3 linked regions of the Struthio camelus genome follow. The protein of the gene in region 1 purifies or fractionates together with the protein of each later gene. This does not show direct contact. Links are inferred from orthologs where the notes say so. Each region holds a gene or a part of one and is shown on either strand. Other genes may lie near its edges. The genes, in order: CCNF, NUSAP1 and RRM2.

Region 1 (7,839 bases):
GTTCAGTGGAGAAAGAGACATAATAAATAAGTAGAATTTCACTCAGAAATTGGAGACAGTGATTAAAACACATCCTTAACAGCCTTATTCCTGTTCAGGGACAGATTCTTAGTTGTGTAATGCCTTTCTGAGAAGGTGCAGAAGTGTGAAAGACAAGGAATCCAACCTGGCTTCCAGCTGTCACTTGGAAAGGGTGCAGGTCTCACTTCTGTTTCATGTTTGCCATCTCTGTGCAAATGTGGTAGATACCACAGGGTTTCTAAAAATTTGTCAGATGGCCATGTTTGGGCAACATGAATGCCACCCGCATACTGCTCTGCCTCTGATCTTATTCATGTCAGTGATAAAACCATCTGGGTATTCTGCCATTTGATTCAGACCAAAGTTTAGTGCTTTTGAAAATCCCAATCATAAATTTTACTTTCACAGAAAAGACAGAATATTGCCTTGACTAATATTTCTTATCCTTTCATCATCTTCGTAGACCTGCTCCAAACCCCGAAATGCAGAGAGACTCCTTCTCATGGATTACAGTTGACTTTGGATCAGGCCTTACGTGCTCATTCAAGTTGGGCATACTCTCACCAGTAAATCTGGGCACTGCTTCTATTATCCTGCTCCACACACTTCTTCCATCTAGAGTCACAGTCTGTTTCTTGCTACAGCATTGCTAACTCCCATCTCTCCCTATGCCTACTTGTTTTTCTGTTATAACCTTTCCGATGCCCTGCCTCCCTCCCCCATTGTAACTTTTGGAAAGAGTGTGACTGACCTGAGGGAACTCTGCAAACTATGGATCACCTGTGACTCAAAGAGCATCTCCTGGTGGTACTTTACCTCTTTGCGGGGAGGTGATTATTCATGCTTTGTTTGCTCATTCAACTTATTAGCTGACAGAAACAGCTGTGAGGGGGAGAAGGAGACAGCATGATTAACTTTTTACTTCAAAATATTTCTCAGTTAAAAGAAGCTAAAAATTCCCTTTGTTCCCCATACTACTTTTTCATGTCAGCAATTGCTGCATGCCCCAGGAACATTATGCAGGTTTGTGGATGGAAGCGGAGGTGGATCTATGCGGGAGAAAGCCTATACATAAAGGTATGCGTATTACAAAGACAGGTTCATGCTCTCAAAAAGTGTGGGCACATCCGCTGTCCCTCATGGTCATTGCACAAGAGTGTGGGTTAACGCAATGGGCTTCTAGTTCCAGCACTGCTAGAGTTGTAGTGTGACCTTAGACAAGTCATCTAACTTTTCTATCTCACCTTCCCAGCCATGAAATGAGATTACTTTGAGAGATAATTATATTTTTAGAGCTATCTGAATCCCTTACATCTATGCATGCACAGAAAAGTATCCAGAATTTCATGTCCTAAAGCTGAGAAATACATGAACTCATAAAATCGAGGGATGACCTTTAAAAAAAACTCATAGAAATGCTACCAGGAAGACACCTCAACCGTGCTAAGACTGATGATGCTTATTCAAGGTACACAGCAGTGGGGAAGTTCCTCACAAGCAGAAATCATAATATAGTCATTTTATGCCTAACAAAATGATAGCTCCTCTTCTTGCTATCGTTTTCTAAAGGACCCACAAAAGGCTTTGTTGAGCTAAAGAGATAACTGGTAAAACTGATCTTCCCTCGGTTAGCTTTGTTCATCTGCCAGCCTTTTCAAGACACCTCTTTACCTCTCTCTCTGTTCTTTGCCTGCTTAGTTCCTAGGCTTTCCCCTGAATTCTTGACTCAGTTTTGAACTTTGACTCCTAATTGTCTTTCAAATTCCACCTCACTCTCTAACACACCGGGACACCAAGAGAGGCAGGAGCAAGGCAGGGTTCTGCATCCAGTTAAAGTGCGAGATGCTGTTGCAGTTAACGGCATCAGAAGCCTGTCTCTCCCACTCCTTCCTCCTGCAGACATGCCTTCCCTCTGCTTTTCTTGCACCAGCACTGATAGTCTTAGGCCCCAGACATTCTGGGAGTCTAAATGAGTGTAAATAAGCCCAGAAGCGTTTTTTGTCTGTTTTTAGTGTGGTGTAGCTCCCCTGGCTGGACAAGCATGTGTGTGAGCACAAGCAGCTGTGGGTGAGAGGTGCTGGGGTGGCAGGAAGGCTGCTGCCAGCAGGGGCCTAGTAGGCATGAGGGCCTCATGGCCCTCAAGCCTTCTGAAGGGCTGAGGCCTCCCCTGTGCCCTAACTGCAAGCTGCAGGCCCCCTCTCCATGGCCCCTGTGTGCTTGGGTGACACTACGACATGACCCCCAGCTCTGCGGGGGAGGGGCGCGTCACGGGCGCCCGCTGTTAGGGCACACAGTCCCCCAGTTGGGGGGCAGGGCTGCCCTGGGAGCATGCGCCCCTGTCGCCCTGTCCATAAGATGCTCGAACCGCCAACTGCCCCAATTCGAATTCGCATCCTCAACGCCCAATCACGGCCCATGGGGCGGGATTGGCACCACCTCCTACCAGTCTCCCCACCAATCACAGCGCCTGCTGGGTTTAAAAAAAAAGTGCGCGCGGCTGGTAGGCGTCGCTCACAAGCTCTGGGCCTATCCCAGGCGGGGAGGAGTTCCGGTCCGGACGGGGCGACGCCTCGGGGGGGCGGGGCCCGGGCGGAGCTCGTCGCGCACGCTTTCGCTGACCTTCTCTGAGGCGAGAGGGGGCGGGGCCGAGAGCCGGAGGAGGCGGGGTCTGTGGGCGGAGCCCCGCCCGCCGCCAGTGCTTTGGGGCCCGCCCCCGCGCGGCGCGCGTCATTCGGAGCCGGCTCTGGGACGCGGCGGCTGTTGGTGCCGCTCGGTTCCCCGGGGACGCGCGGAGATGAAGGCGGGTGGTGAGTGCGGACCGGGCCGCGGGGCTCTGGGCCGGGCAACGGGGGCGCCGCTTTCTCCCGCCTCAGTTCTGAGAGGCGCCGGCGGCTGTTCCCCGCGCCGCCCCGGGCCCCTCCTGAGGAGAGCTCTGAACGCGCAGAGGGGCAGCCGAGGCGAGCGGGCTGCGGGGCGGGAGGCGGGTTGCTGTCCCGCAGCCCTGCCTGGGCACCGCCGCGGCGCCTCCCCCGCCCGGCGGGCAGCCCCGGCCCGCGCTGGCTGCGAGGCGCCGCGGCGGGCTGATGGCCCCCAGGGCCGCGAACCGCCCTCCGCGGCGCGCGCGGAAATTCAAACGGCGCCGGCGACGCGGCCTGCCCGCCGGGGCGGGTGTCGGGGGGCCGGGCCGGTGCTCTGCCCTGGGGGCGTGCTCGGCTACGGCTGGAGTCCTCCCAGCTCTTCCAAGGGCTTCTCGCTGCAGGCCTACTTATTTTAACAGAAATGACTCTTGAAGTGCGGCTTTCTGTGTTACTGGGACATGGATGTTCTAGGATCTTACCTGAGTTTGTGCTTTCTAGTCTTTTTTGCTGCAGTCTCTGCAAATAGTCTATAACTCCTGGGTGTGTTTCATTGCTCTTTTGCTTCTCATTTTGAAGCCAGCTGTAAAGAAATGTAGGCTGCGTACAGAATAACATACTGGACAGCTATGAAGTTGTTGGGCACAAACTGCGATACAGGAGATTTTATTTAAATGTGAAAAGAAGCCTTTTTTACTCTGAGGGTGATCGAACATTGGAACAGGTTGCCCAGAGAGGTTGTGGAGTCTCCATCCTTGGAGATAATCAAAATGTGACTGGACGTGGCCTTAAGCAGCCTGCATAACTGACCTGCTCTGAGCTGCGGGGTGGGACTAGAGGATCTCCAAAGGGCCCTGCCAACCTCAGCGGTTCTGTGATTCTGTGAAGTAACAAACAGATTTCCCTGTATGGCTTCCTAACTTTTGAAACAAACTTCTGTTTCCTAGCTTGCCTGAGAACCCCATGCTCCTGAGTCATTCCATGTTCATGCAGGTGTAATTGGCATACCAGTATAGATGTCCTTCTCTTTTTCATTGCAATAATTCTGCTGAAATCGGCTCCAGAAAGGGAAGGGGGTTGCGAAGGAGAGCAGTATTCTTCCTTGCACGTGTCAAAGGTTTTTATTTTCATGGCAATAGCCTGTTATTCAAAGGCAGGTAACAGGAAGATACGTGCTATACTGGGAGAGCAGATGCTATAGTGTATCAGTTTGATTTATTCCACTAAACCCAAAATGCTAAGGGATTTAACAGTGTGCATAGCAAGATGAGTACAAAAGGGTGTTTCAGCACAGTGGCTTTCTAGCTGTTGTTTATGAACTCACAGAATCACAGAATCGTTTAGGTTGGAAGGGACCTCTGGAGATCATCTAGTCCAACCTCCCTGTTCAAGCAGGGTCACCTAGAGCATATTGCCCAGGATCACATCCAGACGGGTTTTGAATATCTCCAGCGAAGGAGACTCCACCACCTCTCTGGGCAACCTGTTCCCAACTCCTTGGGAATCTGCAAGCTACTCCTAAGAATCCTGCTGAAAAGCCAGATAAAACTTACTTTGCAAACTGAAAAAACTGTATAAAGTAATTGAAGCTGATGCAGTAACTGTGCTTTTGAACGAATCCTCTATAAGCTCTACATTGGCTAGGCAGTCCGTAAATCTGGATGCTTCCTAGTTCTATGGATCTGGCACAGTCAGAGGTAGAGATATAACTGGACAGTCCATATATTTTCCTATTCGTTGCATCTACAGCAGGTGATGTGCTCTATTCTTCTCAAAGATAAATGCAACTTACTGCTTCTCCAGCCTCTCATCCAAACTCTCTGTAAAGAACCAGAAAGCTGCACTAGATCATGAGGCTTTCCACGTGATAGGTTATAACCATGTCTTGGTAAACACTGAAAGTAGTAGAGTAGGCTGGGGCGGGGAGAACACACACTTCATGGAGGAAAAATACTTCCCTCATTAAAATTATCTATCTTCAACTCTGGCTTTTCCAACTTTTAATTTCATTGTGAGGAGAAGAAAACTTGGCAGTTGCGCCATCCTCTCAGCTTATGCGTTTGACCATGTAATCTAGAGAGGCTGTATAAGTCTGATTGTTTTACTTCATAGATAATAGGCTGTGGTTTGGCATATAAATTATATTGCTACTTTGACTCTACTGTTCTGTTTTTATTCACTTCAACAAGACTCCAAATTAGAAATTAACCTGTGGAAATAGGGTAAAAATGTTAGCATCTATATGAGGCAAAGTAATGGGCTGTCTAATGGAGTCTATATCTTTTATGACTTTTTTTAGAATGAAGTCAGTAATTACGTTTTCCAAATATAATCTCTTTGTATAAGACTTAGAAGCCAGATTTGAAAAATACAGGCAAGAAGTCTTCCTTAGCAAAGGCATCAACATGGTCCTTTGCACTGTGGGACTGAAACTTTCACTTCAGAATTTGTTTTCTGAGCCCTTGTATCTGCCCTCTTCTGTCGCAGAAATGGACCTCTGTTGCTTGCATGGGCTGCTCTTGAGAGCTCTATTTTGAGTGGATTACTGCTACCTTTGTAAGAGGTTGACATTGAAATGAGCAAGGTTGATATCTCTGTGATTGCTTGACAGAGCTCTGAAAGGAGGCAGAGCATGAAATATCATTGGGGGGGAGGGGGGATCCTCCTACGCAACCAATAATGTGGGAGTGAGCCTTCTCTACCAGGTACAGTCTTGAGGTGAAGGAGCATGCTCTTTTCCTCCTGGCAACTTCACTGATTTGAATTTCTAACATACTGTTAGTGTTGGGGCCCCTGAGCACAGGCAAGAGAGAGTGCAGTGTTTGGACTGCCACTGAGAGGCTATCCTCAGCAGATGGAAAACAACTGGGCTTTCTACCATGGGGTATATCTCCAGCAAGTGGAACTGGCGTGCTTTTCTCAGTTTCGTCTCATGTGTCAGGTAGTTTTCTACTCTTGGCTAATGCATTGAGGGTAAACTCTGCCTCAACAGGAACAGAAGATGTAGGTAATGCTTCAGCCTGAATGCTATGACATGCTGAAACTTTAAGAAAGGGCTTCCTGCTTCTTTGGCATCTTCCATAAGTGTCTGTGGTAGACAAATGGCCTCTTAGAAAGATAGGCTTTTGTCTTGAGCTAGTTTAGCAGGTCTTAAGTTACTAATCTCTTTGGGCACGTTTTGAAGACTACTGTCAATTGAGAAGGAAAAATCAGGATGTGGGGGGAGGTAAATGAAGTGACAGTTTAACTAAAATCATTAAAATGATGGAGTTAGATTATGGAGGGATTCTGCTCAATGGGAGAGGACTTGAGCTGAATTGCTGAAGTCAATTGCCCTTCTGAGCCTCTCAGCTTAATCAGTTAAAATAATCATTCATTTCATAACTAAAACTGCTAAATCATTGACTTCATGCTAAATGTGTTTATTTTTAAAGTCTCTGCATATGTGATGTCCTATGCTGCAGGAGAATAGGTACAGTAACACTGCCCATCTACATGTTTATATATGTGTATATAGTGGGTTTTTTTCCTCCTGCTGTTTCGTGGCTAACTGAGGTGTTTCGGTTTTTGTTTTCTAGTAATTCACTGTAGATGTTCCAGATGTTTTTCTTTCCCTTCAAAGCGAAGGATAAGAAAACGGCCCCGAGTCCTGACATTGTTAAGTCTGCCTGAAGATGTTCTGTTTCATGTTCTGAAAGGCCTTCCTGCTGAGGACATCCTTTCAGTCAGAGCTGTGAGTCTGCTAATCACTTCCTCTCTGTAACATGCTATGGCTTACCTCTGCCATCGGGAGCCAGGACTGGACACGGGAAAGGCTGGCTCCTCTTGTCAGAGTAAAACTAATTACTGTGTATATTCTTTGATTTTCCTTCAGATTTTTTGCCATACTAATAGCAGTTTTCTTCTTAAGCTCAAGTACTGAGAAATACGAGCAGCAGTATTTGAGTGTTCTCTGTAGATTTTCTGTGGGAATTCTCCTGCCAGATCAACTGTGACTGAAAAACGTAATTCAGTTTGGCAGCTCTTGTCTTAGTGATGGCTGGGTGATAATTGTGATTTACTTGTGATTAATTTGCTACCTATATAAAATTAGATTGCTGAAGAACTATTGTTCTGTTGATCCTTTATTTTTGTAATTGCTTTTTTGCATGCACACACCCCCTGTCCCCACAGGTGCACTCACATCTTAAATACCTTGTGGATAATCATGCTAGTGTTTGGGCATGTGCGAGTTTCCAAGAAGTATGGCCTTCTCCCAACAATCTGAAGATGTTTGAAAGGTAAGCTTTAAGAATCAAGATATGCTCATGATTGTAGAGGAGGATGTTTCAAACTAGGTATCCAATGTGAATCGATTTCTACTGTAAGTGAGGGATCTGACTGTCCTTTCTTACTTGTGGAAGTTTTTGCTTGCTCTTGCTTGAAGAATTGTTGAGTTCATGTCTAAACTCATGCAAATTAGAACTGTCTAACTGGAAACTGGAAATTGTTGTCTTTTTAATTGGAGCACAGTCTGTTGCATATACCTAGGATTCATTTCTCTTGAAATGCAGTAATATCCTGTAGGGGAACAAAGTGTGTTAACTAAAACCTGTGTTACTGATGCTCTTTGAGCTGGTTTCCATATGAATGTGCAAGTCAAATCAGAGGATCTAGAATACAACCATATTTCTAGATCTCAATTCATTTAGTGACTACTTGTGAGGAAGTGTTTTTACCTAATGAAAAATAGGTAAATATTGGTATTAAAACAAGATTGGAGTTTGAATAGATAATTATAAATCTGCTTAAAAGGGGAGGAGAGTGTCTGTTTATCCCTCTGATTTGAAGGGTATTGGTCACTTTTAATGTCATGCTAATTTTGTCACTTCTTATTGTTGCCTCTGCTCTGATGCATGTTTAAAGTTCTTTCTAAAGACTATCTGATAATTGGCTTGAGAGTGCAAATACCAAAATATGTTAT
Region 2 (7,839 bases), on another chromosome or scaffold:
TGTTGGTTCAATTCCTCTAGCTTCTTCATCAGCAATTCTAGGCGCATGTGGACCACCACAAGTTTTTCTTTTAGCTAGAAAAAAGATAAATAAAAAAAAATACCATTGTCCTAACATCAGGTCCTTGCAAGATGTGTACCCCACTTTAAGTAGTTAAAAAGCAGCTGACTTTCAAGATGGAAAATGAAACTGGACTCTGTTGTATCACTAGTGTCTAATACGACATATCTCTATACCCTATGCTTAGTACAGCCAAAACTAGCACCCAAATCAGAAGCTTCCGTTACACATATAAGATGAATGTGTGTCAGCAGAAGCCCTTTCAGGGATGCATGGAAATTTTCCACTTAAGTAAGCAGCCAGAGCTGCTGAAGCCTTAGTATGACCAACATAACATTTCCCGGTTAACTCATTACAACTTTTACAAAGCCAGAGACCTATTTTGACAAGATCTGGACAGACTGTTTCATCTTTGCTTAGGGGTACACCTAAATATACTCATCTGTTATGTTACGTTTCACTCAGGATAGCGTATGTGCTTTGAAGGGAGCATAAAGAAGGGAGTGAGGAAACAGATGACAAACACATAAAAATGAAGTATAGATTTCTCTGGGTTTCTCTTTTCAAGAGGCAGAAAAATCCCTTCTTCTCTCTTGATGACATTCAGGTACCACAAAAATATACATACTCATTACAGGGTAACACACTTGTCAGAAAGTTAGCTAGAACTTTTTATGTTTTGCAGATAAGTTGTTACGGAAAATGTTTTGTATGTTCCGCACGTGTATCATAGCTACATTACAATCCAATATCTTCTACATCATCTGCACTTAAAAACAAACAAGCAAAAAAAAAAAAAAACAATATTTTTGGACTGATCTCTAAAAAAAAATTTGGCATTTTTTGCATTTTACATACAAAGTCATGTAGAACCTTACTTTTCCGAGTTCTTCCTTTAGGCTCAAAGCAGGAAAATTTACCTTAGAGGCTTCTATTATCATTTTAGTTTTTAAGAGATAACTGGAAGACAAGCAGGGAAAGGGGAAAGACAAGAAAAACAGTTTTAAAAAACATGGTTGTATTAATTGTTTAGACAGACTATTTAAGATGATTTTAAGGAGATCGTATAACTGCTGTCAAAAGTAGTCAATATATTATGAAAATATTTAAAACATAACAATAGTTTTACTTTCAAATCATAAGATCTCTCATCATCAACTAAAAGTAATTTATAGTTTCTATAATCAAGTCTTCAATCTAGCACAGAACCGTTTTGATACGTTACTTAAGTGGATCTGGAAGTAAAGTTGATCTCATACTGCAAGCACTTAAATTTAATCCTTGAAATTACATGAGGATACTTAAAAATGTAAGCCAAATCAAATGGAATTGTGCCAACATGAGCAATTTAAATAGAAAGAATATTAAAACCCATGCACCAATGCATTCAAAAGTAAAACAGCTTCTGTTAGCTGTAGATTAATTATACTAATAACTAACTATCTGATTAAAACAGAATCACTTACAAACTCCTGTGAAGTCATTTACCATTAAAAAAAACAGCATATTCACCAGAGGATGCTGTCCTTGAAGAAACAGAAGAAGCCTCGGAGATAAGCCAGATCACTGAAAGTAGAATACAGAATGAAGCCCACAATCAAGCCACATGAACGACAGGATAATGCATTGAAAGTGCTGAAAGGAGAAAGGGGAAAATAGTATGTTTAAACAGAAGCTTCTGAAACCATAGATACTGCCTGCTAATCAGAGGACATCAGGTTATTAGTTTTACCAGAAGAGCAAACAAAGTGCATAATATTACTTTTCTATATATGTGTTATATATATGCTCGTATATATAAAATTTATATTTTATATAAATAAAATATATAATTTATATATTAATTTAGATGATATATGCTTAAAAGGCAGGAGCAGGAGGAAAAAAAAGGGTAAAAGGCTATAGGCTACCTTTTACTGCATTGCTCAAACATTCCTCTCTCTCCGTTAACAAGGGTAAATGCTGACAAAACTTCTTCTGATTTTGATAAGAATTAAAGCTACACATATACAAAAGAATTTTCAGTTCAAAGTTATGAAGTACAGGTCCAAAAATCACTTAGGACTTTATCAATTCCACGAGACATCTCAGTGCCCCAGCTAGAAAACGTGCAGGAACTCTTTCCCTCTGACTTTGGGGAGGCCTATTTTGGTCCACCTATTTCATCTGATGACTAAAACTTGATGTCAAAAGCAAGAGGTACGTCCGTTACCTACCAGCCTAGGAGGGCTCCTTCAAGGCCGATCATTAGCGACTCTTCCCAAGCAACCTCATTTGTGACTTCTACGAAGAAAGGCAGAGCCAGTGAACAACCCCAGAGCAACGGCCGGTCGCCCCAGCGCCCCCCAGCACGGCAGGCGACGCAGAGCCCCGCCGAGGCGCACAACGGGCCTCTTTCTAACGCGGGGCTGGAAGTTTCCGCTCCGGTATTAAAACCTGCATTAGTAAAAGCTTATGGCCCTGTCCCGCCAGCCCGGACACCCCTCGCTCCGCAGCCCCGGCCCCGGCAGCACTGACTGAAGCAGGCGAGAAGCCCGAGGCGCCGCTCCTCCTGCGCGCACAGGTGCAGCGAGTCCCCCAGCACGGCCCGGCAGCCGCGGCACTGGAACACCGCCCACTCCTCCGGCCGCAGCCTCCGCCGCCGCGCCGCCTCCGCCGAGCCCGCAGCCGGCGGCGGCTGGGCCGGCGGCGGCTGGACCCGCGCCGGTGCGGGGGGGGGCGGCGGCGGCCGCTCCACGGTGATGACCCCGCCGAGCTGCGGGTCCTGGAACAGCTCCTGCAGCCGCCGCCTCACCGCCATCTTCTCCCGCCCTGCGTTCGAGAGCGGCACCCGCCTTCTCGGCCTCCCCATTGGAGCGTGGGACACAGCTCTGCGTTGCCACTGGGCGAGAGACAAGTCAATCCTCCTCGCCTGAGACCATTGGGCAATCAGGCAGGCGGGGGCAGGGTTTCCCCTTACCGGGAGCGCCTATCGCCTTTGAAACAAACACGATCCCTGTGGCCGGGCCGCTATTGGTGGTTACCTTGCCCGCGGGCCCGTCCCCTTCGCTCCGATCAGCCAGTGGGAGGGCGCGGCGGGCCAGTTCGAACGGCGGGGGCGGGGCAAGGCGCCGTGTCAGTTGAGCGCGAGATTCGAAAGGCGGCGGTTGGGGCTTGCCGGCGGGCGGTGGTCGCGCCGCCATGGCGCTCTCTTCGTTGCAGCAGCTGGACTCGCTGAAGTACATCGAGCTCCAGCGGATAGCGAAGGCCGCCGGCCTGAAGGCCAACCTCCGGGTGAGGCGGCGCGGCGGCTGCCCGGCCGCGATGCAGCGAGCGGCGCCGCGGCGCGGGGCTGGCGGGAGCTCCGGGCTGCCCGCTCTGGCGGGCGGGCTCGGCTCGGCTCGGCTCGGCTCGGCTCGCCTCCGGCGCTGCCCCTGCGCTCGGCCGGGAGCTCTAGGGCGGCGCCGGGGGGAGCGAGGGGCCCGGCGGAGCCGAGCGGGAGCGGCGGGAGTGTGGGCGGGCGGGCGGGCGTCGTGGGGGTCGAGTGCCCCCGGCGGCCCCGCGGTCGTTGTTCTGCTTTCGGCCGCTGCGATGAGAAAACCTGCGGTCTGGAGGTGGTGTCGGCAGAGGCGCGGCTCGGGCCTGGGGCGTGGAGCCGGCAGTTTGATAGTTTGACGCTTAAGCGTTCCTTACCGCCTTCAGTTAGGGGCGTGAGACTGTAGACGAAGCTGAGAAGGCGGGGCTCCCTTCTTCCCGGGCCCCCGACCGCCCCGCGTCCGGGCTGCGCTGGCGCGTGGAGCCCCGCCGTGCCCGCGCTGCCCCCGCCGCGCCGGCCGTACCCGCCGACGCGGGCGTTTCATCCGACTGGGGCTGGGAAGAGTGGTAACCACGGGGAGCCTGAAGGGTCGAGAGTGATTATTTTTTACTTACCGATAGGAATTAAGAACAAGGAGTTAAAGCATGTGCCCATCTGTTTTGCCTAGGGCCCTACGGGTATATGACAGTGACCCAGCCTGGCCTGATCTTGGCAGGTACCGCTGGTAAATCCCTCAGCAGAAGTCAGACCCGCACCACCAGTGCGAGAAGGCGTACAGCCTTTAAAAACAGACAGAGGGAAACCCCAGATGCACCACTTATGTGGTAATTTGGATCAAGGATTAATTGTCCTCACAGGACTGAGGCTTCTGCTTGGGGTTTTGGTTCTCTGTTACTTTGTGTGTAACTTCTAGTTCAGAACTGATTTTATGCTGACCTTTCCAGTTAAAGTCTTTTATTCATAGATTAAAACATCGATGGTGTGTCTTTTTTTATTATTATTCTATGTGAATATACAGAAGGGATGAGGAGAATGCTTTCCATATAGTATTGTGTGAAATGGGAAAAAGTTATTAGAGAAGTTGGGTGCAATGTTATTAGCATTCAGTTAGGCTGCTGAAATAGTTTCTTTTATCCTAGAACAATCGACCTTTCTGGACAATAGCTAGACCAGAAGAAATCTGGTCGGGGAAATCTCTCTTTGTATGCTACATATTTAGCCTGGGCCTTAAGTATGTTCTCAAATCTGACTGACTTTAATGAGGCTTCAAGCATGCTTTAAGAGTTCTATTTTATTGGATTCAGCAAGTGCTTTGCTAGTTTGGACTGATTTTTAGGGTGCTTATAGGGTTTGTGCAAGTGTCTGATGACTTAATATAATCTTTAGTTCATATGTTTTGATTTCTCTGCAGGCAGACAAATTGTTGAAAGCACTGAAGCAACATTTTCATGGAGCAAAACAAGAAAATGAAAATATGGTAATAATGAGAAATTAGCTATTCTCTTTAAGAAAGATAAATCTAACTTTGTAACTAGTAAAGTATGGCATGTAGTGAATGTCGCATTTAACATGGTGCAAACTGTAACAAAAAATATATTTTTTTTAAACAGTGTTCAGTATACTTGCATACTGATTGAAATAGATGTGTTGATATTAGCTTTAAAGTGGTTGTGTGTATGACTGAAGGCTGATTTTTTTTATTTTTTCCCCCCACCCCCTCATGCCAAAAACAGCAGTGTATTTTTTCAGTGTAAGCACAAAATTATCCCCTGTGAACGCTAACACTTCAATTTCCATTGACCAAATCTTAATTTTTGCCTCTTTAGCTCCAAGTGCTAGTCAATACTAAATATAAAAATGCCTAGATGAGGGAGGGACTGGGTATTCATCTCAAAGCATTCTCCATTTACTACAGTTTACTTACTGATGTTATAAGAGAAGAGAACCTTTCCTTTAATCATCTCTTAATATGTTATTTTCTTGATTTTTTTTTTTTTTTCCTAAAGCTTTCCCTTTTGTAAGTATTTCATTGAGTATGGAATGTTTATACATTTTTTGACAAAAGTAAATTAGAATCTATTTAAAACACACCATATATTTTAAATGCTTCCTTTATAATCTGCTTCTTTTAAAATATGGAGAGCTTGTGTAATCCTTGTCAGTTTATTTTTAATTTTATCAAGCTTCGACGCATGAGTAACAACTTGAATATATTACATATTTTTCCAACATCTGATTACAGTCTGGTATGATAAGTGTGGAAGAATGCTGTTGTTGTATCTCTCTCTTTTTTTTTTTAAGGTTATTCCATAGGAATGTAAAAACTTGGCAGATCACAGCATCATGCAAGTCAAATTTCCAATATAAACTATTAGGTTTTTTTAAATGTCTTTGTAGAATATTGTGCATATAATGAAACAACTGTAGGTTTTCTGTCTCAGTCTTCCAATAATCAGCTTGCTATTTAAGGAAACCTAGATATCACTCATTCATTGCTGTGCTACTAAAGACCACGCCTTTTCCGATAATAACGCTGAGGCTGTCTCTTTGTAGTATATGTCAGATATGTTTCATATGATGATACTTATCTGATATAGGACTCTGAAGAAAGTGCATCTGCTTCCATCGAATTGGATGAACAGAACAGTCAGGAGGAACTTATGCCTGATCCAGTGTGTTTTATCACAAAAAGGCGTGGAAAAGAAAAGAAAGCAACCAGAAAAAAAAACAATTCCAATGAGGAAACTAACAGCAGTGAAGACAATACAGGGCATTCTGCTGAGAAAGAGGTGATTTACGTTTCTTGGGTTTGAGTGTCTGCCCCGTCCTCCCTCCGCTAAACACATGTAGTGAAGCATAAGTTAAACGGAGTTGATTCATTTTACCAGTGTTTAACAGGTAACATTCACTTTTTGGTATGCAGACCTACTAGTGTTATTGGTCTTCTGTGCTTTATAGCTCTGTTTTTGTCCAATTTGACTATACACTACTCCAAAATGAACATATAATTTGTTCTTTTTGTACATTTTTTTGGGGGGGAGGGAATATTATTGAAGAAAAAGATCAAATAAAGACTGTATCATTCAAATTATTTTATCAGAATATAAGACTATTTTCATTGGTTCATCATAGTATTCACGAGATTGTTAGGCAAGTTTTGAAACTTATCTAAAATCAGGCTGTTTTCACTTTCCTGTATAGTAAAAATTCACAGAAACTCTGTGATTGCCTTTTCATATGAATTCCTTTTTCTATTAAAAGGTAACTCTTAGATTATTTTCTGAAGAACTATACATAGAGACAGACTAACTACAAGGCAGATTAATTGCTCTGGTGGGCTGGAGGTTTCCCATTCCTCTCAATTTCAAAGTATGTGGGGCGAGTGTCTTGGTGTGTTCGGCTGGTTGTTTTCTCCTCTCTCCCCCCCCCCCCCCCCCTTTTTTCTTTTTAATATGTATTGGTTGTATGACTGAGGGAGAGGAGGTTTTCAAGGTGAGGTGGGGATAAAACTTTTTTCTTCTCCCCTCTAAAATCACATGCAAGTAGAGGGAGAACTAAGACAGAACTTTATGAAAGACTTTTACTGGTGTAAAGGTGGAAGAATGAGAATAAGAGAAATCATTTTTTAGGTGAAAATTTCTCAAAATGTCTGAGTAAGCAAAAGCCTACAGTAACCACAGCTACAGTAGTAAAAAGTGACATGGTCAGTGAATTTATGTTTTGCCAACAAAATCAATTTAATATTAAAGTGCTTTATAATTCAGGTTGGATTTCAGAAAATCTCTTGTCTGTCCTGTGGAAAATGTTTTCCTTATGTCCAGTTGAAAAAATCTGCCTAACCGAAGTATGTTTAAACCACAGGAGCATTCAGAAATGAAAGAAAACAAAGTGCCACAGCATGAAAAGGGACAGAAAGTATTCCAAAACGATAAATCAGTAACTAAAAAGAGAGCTATAGAGAATCCAGCGATGGGTATGGGGCAGAAAGAGCAACCAGAGAAGATTTCCACTAAGAGAAGTGGAGTGGAATGTAAGTAAAAACTTCCAACAGAGTAAGTTTAGTCATTCGTACTAATTAAAATAATCAAAAAGTGCATTTGATTGTGTCCACAAAGATTTTTGTGGAATGTCTGGTGATCTGATGGACCAACAGTACTTGAGTAAGGATACTTGAACAGAATCTGTGTAATTTAGGCTTATGTACTTGTTTGCTTATCGTATTGTAAAGCAAGTTCACACAGTCAGCAGTATAGCCGTTCTGCTGGATTTGACTTGAGAACTGCGGTCCTGTTGTTGATTGGTTTTAGTGAAGGAGTTCTCAAAGATCTGAGCGTATTTGAGTCTTGCACCTTGTTTAGGATCAGTGCCTTTAGGAATACCACTGATACGCTACTCAGCCCCTTTGGAACGAGGCAAGAAATGGAGAACTTTCTTCCTCGCACTTCATCTTTCTTTTCCTACTTACTGAACTCAATCTGAAGTCT
Region 3 (7,839 bases), on another chromosome or scaffold:
TATTCAGGGTAACTGGTTTTCTGGAATGGCTGGGGTTAAGAGGGGCTGCGATGTCCATGTTTTAGTGGGGTTTGGCTGCTGAAGCCTGGCCTCTTCTCTGAGAGGGTGAGGATCAAGGCCTGGAGCAAGAGCCACTGTCCTCAGACACAGACCTACCTGGGCAGGAACTGAAGATACTGCCTTAAACATTTCCCGAAGTCCCTGACTGGAAGCAAGCCAAAAAGCAAAAAGCATGAGGTATTGTTGCTGTTTTTGCCTTTCCTTGGCCCTCACTTGGCCTCTAGGCCAGAATCCACCTCTATCTGAGTATATATATCTGAGGCGCACCAAATGCCTGGTTGCTACAGGTGTCTAGGATAGCAGTGATGGTCTCATGGCTTCCTGTTCTGTCTGTGGCAGATGGCAGTCATGGCTTGTAGCATTTTATCTTAGATTGGAAGCTTATTTGAGGGGATGTGCTTTTGTGATGCTTTCTGTCCTGGGATTGCTATATACATATATATATATGTATTTAGCCCAGAAGGTCCCACAGAGCATCTCCCGGGTGGATGCCTGCAGTGAGTCCAGCGTCCTACATAGGACAAATACCACAGTTTGATGAAGGACTTATTCCGCTGGCCATTTCTGATATGCTCCCGCTGAGGAGAGTCAGACCCAAATTCAGTGATCTTGACGCAGTTTTGAAATGAGTAACACACTTGAACTCGCAGTGTTAGATGATGATGTCAGAAGGGAATACTCTTGGTTTTTGTCCAAATCTGCTCACTAAAGCAGTACACAGTATTGTCATATAGTCGAAAAGATGGTTTAAGGGGCTGCAGCGATGGGCAGGTCCCTGAATGTCCACTTTCTATCGGCTTCCCTGGGGGCCTGGTCGTCTGCTCCCCTCCTGCCTTACCTGCCTATTTTCTAGCCATGCCCTGGGCAGCACCGGGTCTCATAACTCATGGCCCCCGGTCCCAGTAGCAGGCTGGGCTTCTGTTTGGGTGACAGTGACTTCAGTGGCATCCCACACCACTGAAGAGCCTAAAAGTCCCAATAAGCTTCTAGTTTCATTAAAACTGAGGACATGCTTCAGTGAATCAGACCCGGCACAAGCCATATGCAGTGCTGCTGTAACGCCAGCAGTGCGAACCACCGGAGGAGGGCCTCTTGCTCTGGGGCTCCAAGGGAAGCAATCAGCCTAAAGCTGTGTTAGCAGCTTTTTGCTGCTCTTTGTGAGTTATGAAAACGTACTTTCTCTTTCTGTTGTCCCTGAGAAAACTTTTTGGTCCGTCTGCAGGTCCTCCCTCTGTGGAGTCAGGCTGCACTGACAACGTTCAAAGCTTCAGCAAGACACACACCTTTCCTGTCGTGGCTGGGACTGGCCTGGGGACACGTCACGGCCCGCTGCTATTTTCTTTCGTAATATCTGCAAGTTAGAGTGAGCTGGTGTGGGGAGGGAGGAAGAGGGAAATGCAGCTGCTGCTTAAATAAAAACGATTTCATTAGTGTCAAATAAATATTGACTTTTTAAAGCAGATGAATCTTCTTTCTTTTTCATTGCTATTTTCTTCCCTGCTTGTACTATTTATTTAAACCATATGAAACCGGGTGGCATATGGAGGCTGCTTCTCCATGAAAACAATTTCTGTCAAATGCAGCCATCCCTGTGGAGGGAAAGGGAAAATGTATCAGGATGGGGGAGGGATCAGAAGAGAGGGGGGAAGAGCAAGGCAGGGAGGGGGGAAACATGGCATTTCCAAAGCTCTACCTTAAAGCCAAAATCTGGAATTAAGTTACTCACTTCCCTATTACATCCCAAATCTTTCAAAGCCAGATACCATATTTAGGATCCACAGCCACGCTTCTCTTTAGAAGAGGTTATGCATACCACAAGTGATCAAGGCTGCGGGGTTTTTTTTTTAAATATATTTTTATGTACCCTTTATTCAGCTGTGAAATAACTGCTATGTTTTACATTAAATCCTGTGCCCCTAAACGCTCATCGGCGATAAATGGAGGCATTTACAGCTTTCCAGAAGATTAGCTCAAGCCTGGAGAAAGCAAAACCGAAGATCCTGTAGGGTTTATCCACACGGAGACATGCCCTGGTGCAATGTGCAGCAGTTTTATTAGCGTGAGGTGCCCCACTGACACCATTAATCTAGAATAAAGGTGGCTCTGAAGCCAAGCGACGCTGCTATAGACGTGCCCCTGTGAGCCCCAAGTGGGAAGCTACACCGGCATCAACCCGGCGCAGTAATTCAGCTGGAGAATTTCATCAGCTGCCAGGCCCTGTCGAGGCCAGGGCGCAGGGAAGCACGGCAGCAGGCCTCTCCCCCGAGGGCGACGGGGCGGGGCGGCCCCGGGGCGGCGGCGGCGGCGGCCACCAGCCCGCACCGCCGGCCGCGAGGCGGGTAACGGCTCCTCACAGCCCCGGGGCCCGGCCCCTCCCCCCGCGCAGCCCCCAAGGTGCGGGGGGCGGGGCAGGCGCCCGGGGGCGGGGCTCCCGCGCTCTCCCGCCTTTTTCCCCGCGGCGGGAGCGCCGGGGCGAAGGGCAGGTCCTCCTCTCCCGCCACGGCGACAATGGGAGGCTGGGCCCGCGCCGCGCCTGCAGCCAATGGGCGTGCGGGGGCGGGGGCGCCGCGCGCCCGGCTCGGGCTGTGAGTGGGCAGCCGGGCGTTCTGGCGCCAAGTTCGAAGGGGATATAAAGGGGCGGCGCCGGGCGGCGGTGCGTCCCGCGTTCCCGCCGTGAGCTGCTGACAGCATGCTGTCCTCCCGCGTCCCGCTCTCCGCCCGCCACGACCAGCCCCGCCTGTCGCCGCTGAAGAACCTGGCGCTGAGCGACAAGGAGAACACGGTGGGTTCCCCCCCCCCCTCCTGCCGCCCCCCGTCCGCGGTACCCCCAGCGCCGCACGGCTCTCACCGCCGCTCTCTCCGCAGCCCCCCGCCCTCAGCAGCACCCGCGTCCTGGCCAGCAAGGCGGCGCGCAAGATCTTCCAGGAGGCCGAGGGGAAGCCGGTGAGTGCGGGCCCCGGCGCGGGCTGCGCGTGGGGACCGACCCTCCCTCCCTCCCTTCCCCGCGGGCATCTCGCCGCCTCGGCGCCCCGTGGCCGAGCGGCGCCGCCGCCCCCGCTGGCCTCCCGCCGCGGCCCGGGGCTGAGGCCGAGCCGCTCTGTGCCCGCAGGTGCCGCGGGCCGCCGAGGAGGAGCCGCTGCTGCGGGACAACCCCCGCCGCTTTGTCATCTTCCCCATCCAGTACCACGACATCTGGCAGATGTACAAGAAGGCCGAGGCCTCCTTCTGGACTGCCGAGGAGGTGAGGGCTGGGGCTGTGCCGGGAGCCCCTGGGAGCTTCATCCCTGCTTCAAAGGCACTTCTCCTGCCATAATATTAATAATGAAGCTGGACAAGGTTACCTGATTTTTCCGTAGCCCTAAGGGGATTGTAACATCTCAAAACACTTCCCTAACATGCTGCTGAAAGTGCACCCTGCTTGCAGGGTAGCACCTCGGACTGTGGTACGAACACTTTACCTGAAGTGTCTGTTTCTCTTAGGAGCCCTTTATTGTTTCATTGCTTCCCTTGTGTTTCAGGTGGATCTTTCAAAGGATATCCAGCACTGGGAGTCGCTGAAGCCTGAGGAAAAATACTTCATTTCCCATGTCCTTGCCTTCTTTGCTGCCAGTGATGGCATTGTGAATGAGAACTTGGTGAGTGTGTAGAAAGGGCCCTGAAATAACCTATTCCATGAAATGAAGGTAACCAAATAACTACATATTTAATGAGGTACTTGCTGGCCTATCTAGCTTGTTTACCTGTGCTTAAAAACTTTAATATTGCCTTATGTTATTAAGTGAAGTGGGGGGGATGCTTTTTAAATTCAAGAGGCTGGCCGTTTTCCCCACAGAGCAGAAAGCACTGCCTTATAGTAACAACTAGCCTACTCAGAGCCCTTGCTCTGCTTCAGATCTGTCAGTGTTCCCTTAAGGGAGGCAAAGCCAATTTAAGATGTTCTTCTCTTCCTTTGGGGACCAAAGAACAACTTTACAGCTGCAAGTCTACTTAAGATGCTGGTGCTCTTAACGTTTCTGTTTAGAATCTAAACATGTGGATTTAGTTTGAAGATAATGTTATAGGCTAAGCAAATGTAGCTCCTCATAGAAAGCATCAATACCTTTAATATACAAGTTAGTGTTTGCAGAACCATTGATAATGAAGTTTTTTTCCTCTAGGTGGAGCGGTTCAGTCAAGAAGTACAGATCACAGAAGCCCGTTGTTTCTATGGCTTCCAGATTGCCATGGAAAATATACATTCGGAAATGTACAGTCTTCTTATTGACACATACATTAAAGATTCAAAAGAGAGGTTAGTATTGCTTGATAATGAAAGGTTCAAAACTGATAACTGAGGTTTACATGATGTGCATCATTCGTGTTTGTGACTTTAGTCTAACTTTAGGATTTGAATTAGATTAAAATATCACTGAAATGCTGCTTAAGATGGACTTTTAAATATCTTTCTGCTCCTAAATGTATGAGCAAGACTTCATCTAGGTTCAGAGTAAAAACAGATACTTAACATTGAAATAATGGAATGAGACTAAACATCTAACAGGTAACATGGTCAAATAAGGGCGTATGTTAAACCACAGTAAGCTCTGCTACGGAGGACCCACTCCGTTGGTAGGTAGCTATGTAGGGAAGTTTCTCTAAGGATAACAGCTTTTTAAATAAAATAGTCTCTAATACTCACTGTATCTAGTTAATGACTGATGCACTCGCCATATGCTGCTGTTAGAGACTTGACTATTTTTGACTTCTTTCTAAAATAATAAAGGCAAACTTCCTTTTTGACAGCTATATGTAGATAAAGCTGCATGCTTGAAAAAAAGAATAGTGATTAAAAGTATCACCAAAATGTAACTTTCCCATAACAAGGTGGATCAGTTCAATAATGGGATCTTCTTAAAACTCAGTGCAGGGCTTTGAGCAACTTGGGCTTTTTCGAGTTATTTTTGGAATGTCATGGGAGGCAAGCACCCTACTGGGGTAAAGTGTTACTGAAATGCTAGCTGCAGTGTAGAGGTACTTATTTAATTGCTGTTACTTTGCAGAAAGCTGACTAGCCACATCACTCTTTCCTACTTGTGGGTGCTTAATTGCTTTAAATTTTTAAGGAAGAATTGCTTATGTGAAAAGTTAGATGCCTTGTCACGGAAAAGTGGAGGTCAGCTGCTCTATAGTTTTGAGACTTGTTCAAGCATACTTCTTGAATCAGTACTCCATTTGGTTTTGTCATGGGAATTTGTGTGAATTCCTGTTGATGTAATGTGAAGGTCATGCAAAGGTAGATGAGCACAAATGCAGCTAGGTTTGGTACAAAATAAAATGGGAGGGGAGCTTAAATACTGAGGTGAAGGTACAGAGCCCTTGTAAGTGAATGAGGCCATCTACAGCTGTGAAGGCTTATTGTACTGGTTGCTTTGCTGAAATCTTGTCCTAATGAGTTATATGCTTCTCAGGGAATTTCTTTTTAATGCTATTGAGACGCTACCATGTGTTAAAAAGAAGGCTGACTGGGCCATGCGCTGGATTGGGGACAAGCAAGCAACATACGGTGAGTATGTTTTTTAGAAGCAAAGTGAAATTTCTTCCCTAAAAGAATGGAAGAACCGCTTTCCAGAACTTGTCCAGACTTCCTCACAGTTCACAGGGATTATTGTTGTCAGGGTATGAGTAAGCACTATCTAGAAAATGCTGGTATAATTCTGGAGATGAAAAAATCTTGTTTGTCTTGCCGATAAACTGATGATGCAAATCTCTAAAACTGCTAGTATTTTGACTAACGGTAGCTCCTGTGGCAATCTCTGTATGATCAAATTGCAACTGTTTCTTGTGTCATGAACTGCACTGGTCTCTGCTCTCTGGTAGACACATTCAGTTGGAGGCTATGGCTCATCTGCCTTACTGATTTTTGATGCCTTGCTTAAAAGGTGAAAATGAGATGGTAGAGAGTGCAGCGATTTCACTGCTATTAATGTTCCTCATGCACAAAGTTCTTCACTTGAGCAATGATGAGCAGTCACTGACTTTAATCTGACACTGAAGATGACTGTTCTTTGTTCAGTGTGTAATCTATGGGGGAAAAGGTGGTATGACATTTAACCTGGGGGAAGGAGTGCTGGCTTCAGCTGCCTACCACCTCCTCTAATTAGTTTTTACTTTGCTTTGCAGTTTAAAAAGTATTTTGCTTTGACAGAAGCCTTTACTATACCATTTCCAGGGACACACTATAGCACACTTGAGCAGCAGTGCTTTCATTCTGCTTGAAAGACTCAGTTCACTGGTCTATTCACAACTTTTGAGTTTTAATCCTGGTAAGTTTTCTACATGTTAGTGAAATCAGTCTTTTCTTACAGGAGAACGTGTAGTAGCTTTTGCAGCAGTGGAAGGAATCTTCTTTTCTGGCTCATTTGCATCAATTTTTTGGCTGAAGAAAAGAGGATTAATGCCTGGACTCACTTTTTCTAATGAACTCATCAGCAGAGATGAGGTACAGATCAAATTCTAACAGTTAAGATGATTGTGCCACAGTAGCTCAAAGTAATGATGTTCAAATGGAGCCTATACTTCAAAATAGGAGTATGTTTATAAACAGTCTGTAAAGCTTACTAACATGTGTAAATGCATGTGGGATCATGAATCTTATGCCAGTGAATGAATATACTTACCATTTTATTTCCTCAATAATAGTTCAAGGTTTCCCACCAATTCTTGCATGTGTCATTTGTAGGAAGTGCAGCTTGTATTGTCTTGGTTATACCTCTGTCTGGTTAGGCAGAAAGTTGCTTGTTTAAAAAAATACATGGCAAGTGCAAAGATGGTATATAGATATGGGATTTTTTTAGCCACTGATTTGTGTGGCTCTTCAAAATCAGTGTTCCTGACATGATTTTCTGAAACTTCTTTCCAGGGCTTGCACTGTGATTTTGCCTGCCTCATGTTCAAGCACTTGATACACAAACCATCAGAGGAGAGAGTTAAGGAAATCATAATGAATGCTGTTCTCATAGAACAGGTAATTGCCTGCTCCTTGTTTAAAATTGCTTCATAATTAAGCATAAAGCTGGGGAACTGTTGGGTGTGAAATTACCCTAGACAGTACAAAATGAATGCCACAGTTTCTGTACATTAAGTGTTTGTTATCTGCAGGAATTCTTGACAGAGGCATTGCCTGTAAAACTGATTGGTATGAACTGCACTTTAATGAAACAATACATAGAATTTGTAGCAGACCGACTTATGCTGGAACTGGGATTTAACAAGGTAAGGCTAATAAGCACAAGAAAAACATTTTAACTTAATTTTCTCCAGAAACCTAAACCATAAAACAGCTGCAGCAATATTGGTTTAACTTCTAAATCCAGTTAGCAGGTCCACTTCAGGTCCTTTTGGGAGACCCACAGAGGGAAAAGCAAAAAGGCTGTTAATAAAATTAAAAAAACCTGTGTGTAAAAGTTACTGTGCTTCTGCCTATTCTTGGAAGCAGCTGCAGCTAAAAGCAAGGAATGAATACAGTAGAGAATGCCTGGGGCAGGGATTTCTCTTCACTGTAAAGTAACCCCAACTATATTGCCACTAGGTTCTCTTTGCTTTCTTCTCAGCTGATCTCTCTAATGCTATCTTGTATTCAAGATTTGAACGTCCATAGTGACTATAGAATTGTCTTTGCATTTCAGATATACAAAGTGGAGAATCCTTTTGACTTCATGGAAAACATCTCTCTGGAAGGCAAGACCAACTTCTTTGAGAAGCGTGTAGGTGAATATCAGAGGATGGGAGTCATGTCAAAGC

The links.
Region 2: the proteins of CCNF (region 1) and NUSAP1 purify together in Homo sapiens (affinity purification with mass spectrometry; 3 studies listed by BioGRID, with this or other methods). This does not show direct contact. The link is inferred for Struthio camelus from reciprocal best matches to the Homo sapiens genes CCNF and NUSAP1.
Region 3: the proteins of CCNF (region 1) and RRM2 purify together in Homo sapiens (affinity purification with western blotting; 5 studies listed by BioGRID and IntAct, with this or other methods). This does not show direct contact. The link is inferred for Struthio camelus from reciprocal best matches to the Homo sapiens genes CCNF and RRM2.

What each region holds. Positions count from the first base shown.
Region 1 is NC_090956.1:21,002,282-21,010,120, forward strand, and holds the start of CCNF (cyclin-F), read left to right. Parts: upstream 1-2,754; 5' UTR 2,755-2,815; coding exon 2,816-2,828; intron 2,829-6,454; coding exon 6,455-6,609; intron 6,610-7,049; coding exon 7,050-7,156; intron 7,157-7,839. UniProt on the Homo sapiens protein: Substrate recognition component of a SCF (SKP1-CUL1-F-box protein) E3 ubiquitin-protein ligase complex which mediates the ubiquitination and subsequent proteasomal degradation of target proteins.
Region 2 is NC_090946.1:41,225,987-41,233,825, forward strand, and holds the start of NUSAP1 (nucleolar and spindle-associated protein 1), read left to right. Parts: upstream 1-3,145; 5' UTR 3,146-3,240; coding exon 3,241-3,333; intron 3,334-4,766; coding exon 4,767-4,832; intron 4,833-5,952; coding exon 5,953-6,144; intron 6,145-7,216; coding exon 7,217-7,385; intron 7,386-7,839. Other genes in the region: OIP5 (protein Mis18-beta), read right to left, coding at 1-74, 939-1,020, 1,573-1,695, 2,277-2,343, 2,578-2,860. UniProt on the Homo sapiens protein: Microtubule-associated protein with the capacity to bundle and stabilize microtubules. May associate with chromosomes and promote the organization of mitotic spindle microtubules around them.
Region 3 is NC_090944.1:24,607,897-24,615,735, reverse strand, and holds the start of RRM2 (ribonucleoside-diphosphate reductase subunit M2), read left to right. Parts: upstream 1-2,515; 5' UTR 2,516-2,749; coding exon 2,750-2,842; intron 2,843-2,925; coding exon 2,926-3,003; intron 3,004-3,169; coding exon 3,170-3,301; intron 3,302-3,578; coding exon 3,579-3,695; intron 3,696-4,217; coding exon 4,218-4,351; intron 4,352-5,507; coding exon 5,508-5,602; intron 5,603-6,404; coding exon 6,405-6,538; intron 6,539-6,958; coding exon 6,959-7,063; intron 7,064-7,197; coding exon 7,198-7,311; intron 7,312-7,724; coding exon 7,725-7,839. UniProt on the Homo sapiens protein: Provides the precursors necessary for DNA synthesis. Catalyzes the biosynthesis of deoxyribonucleotides from the corresponding ribonucleotides. Inhibits Wnt signaling.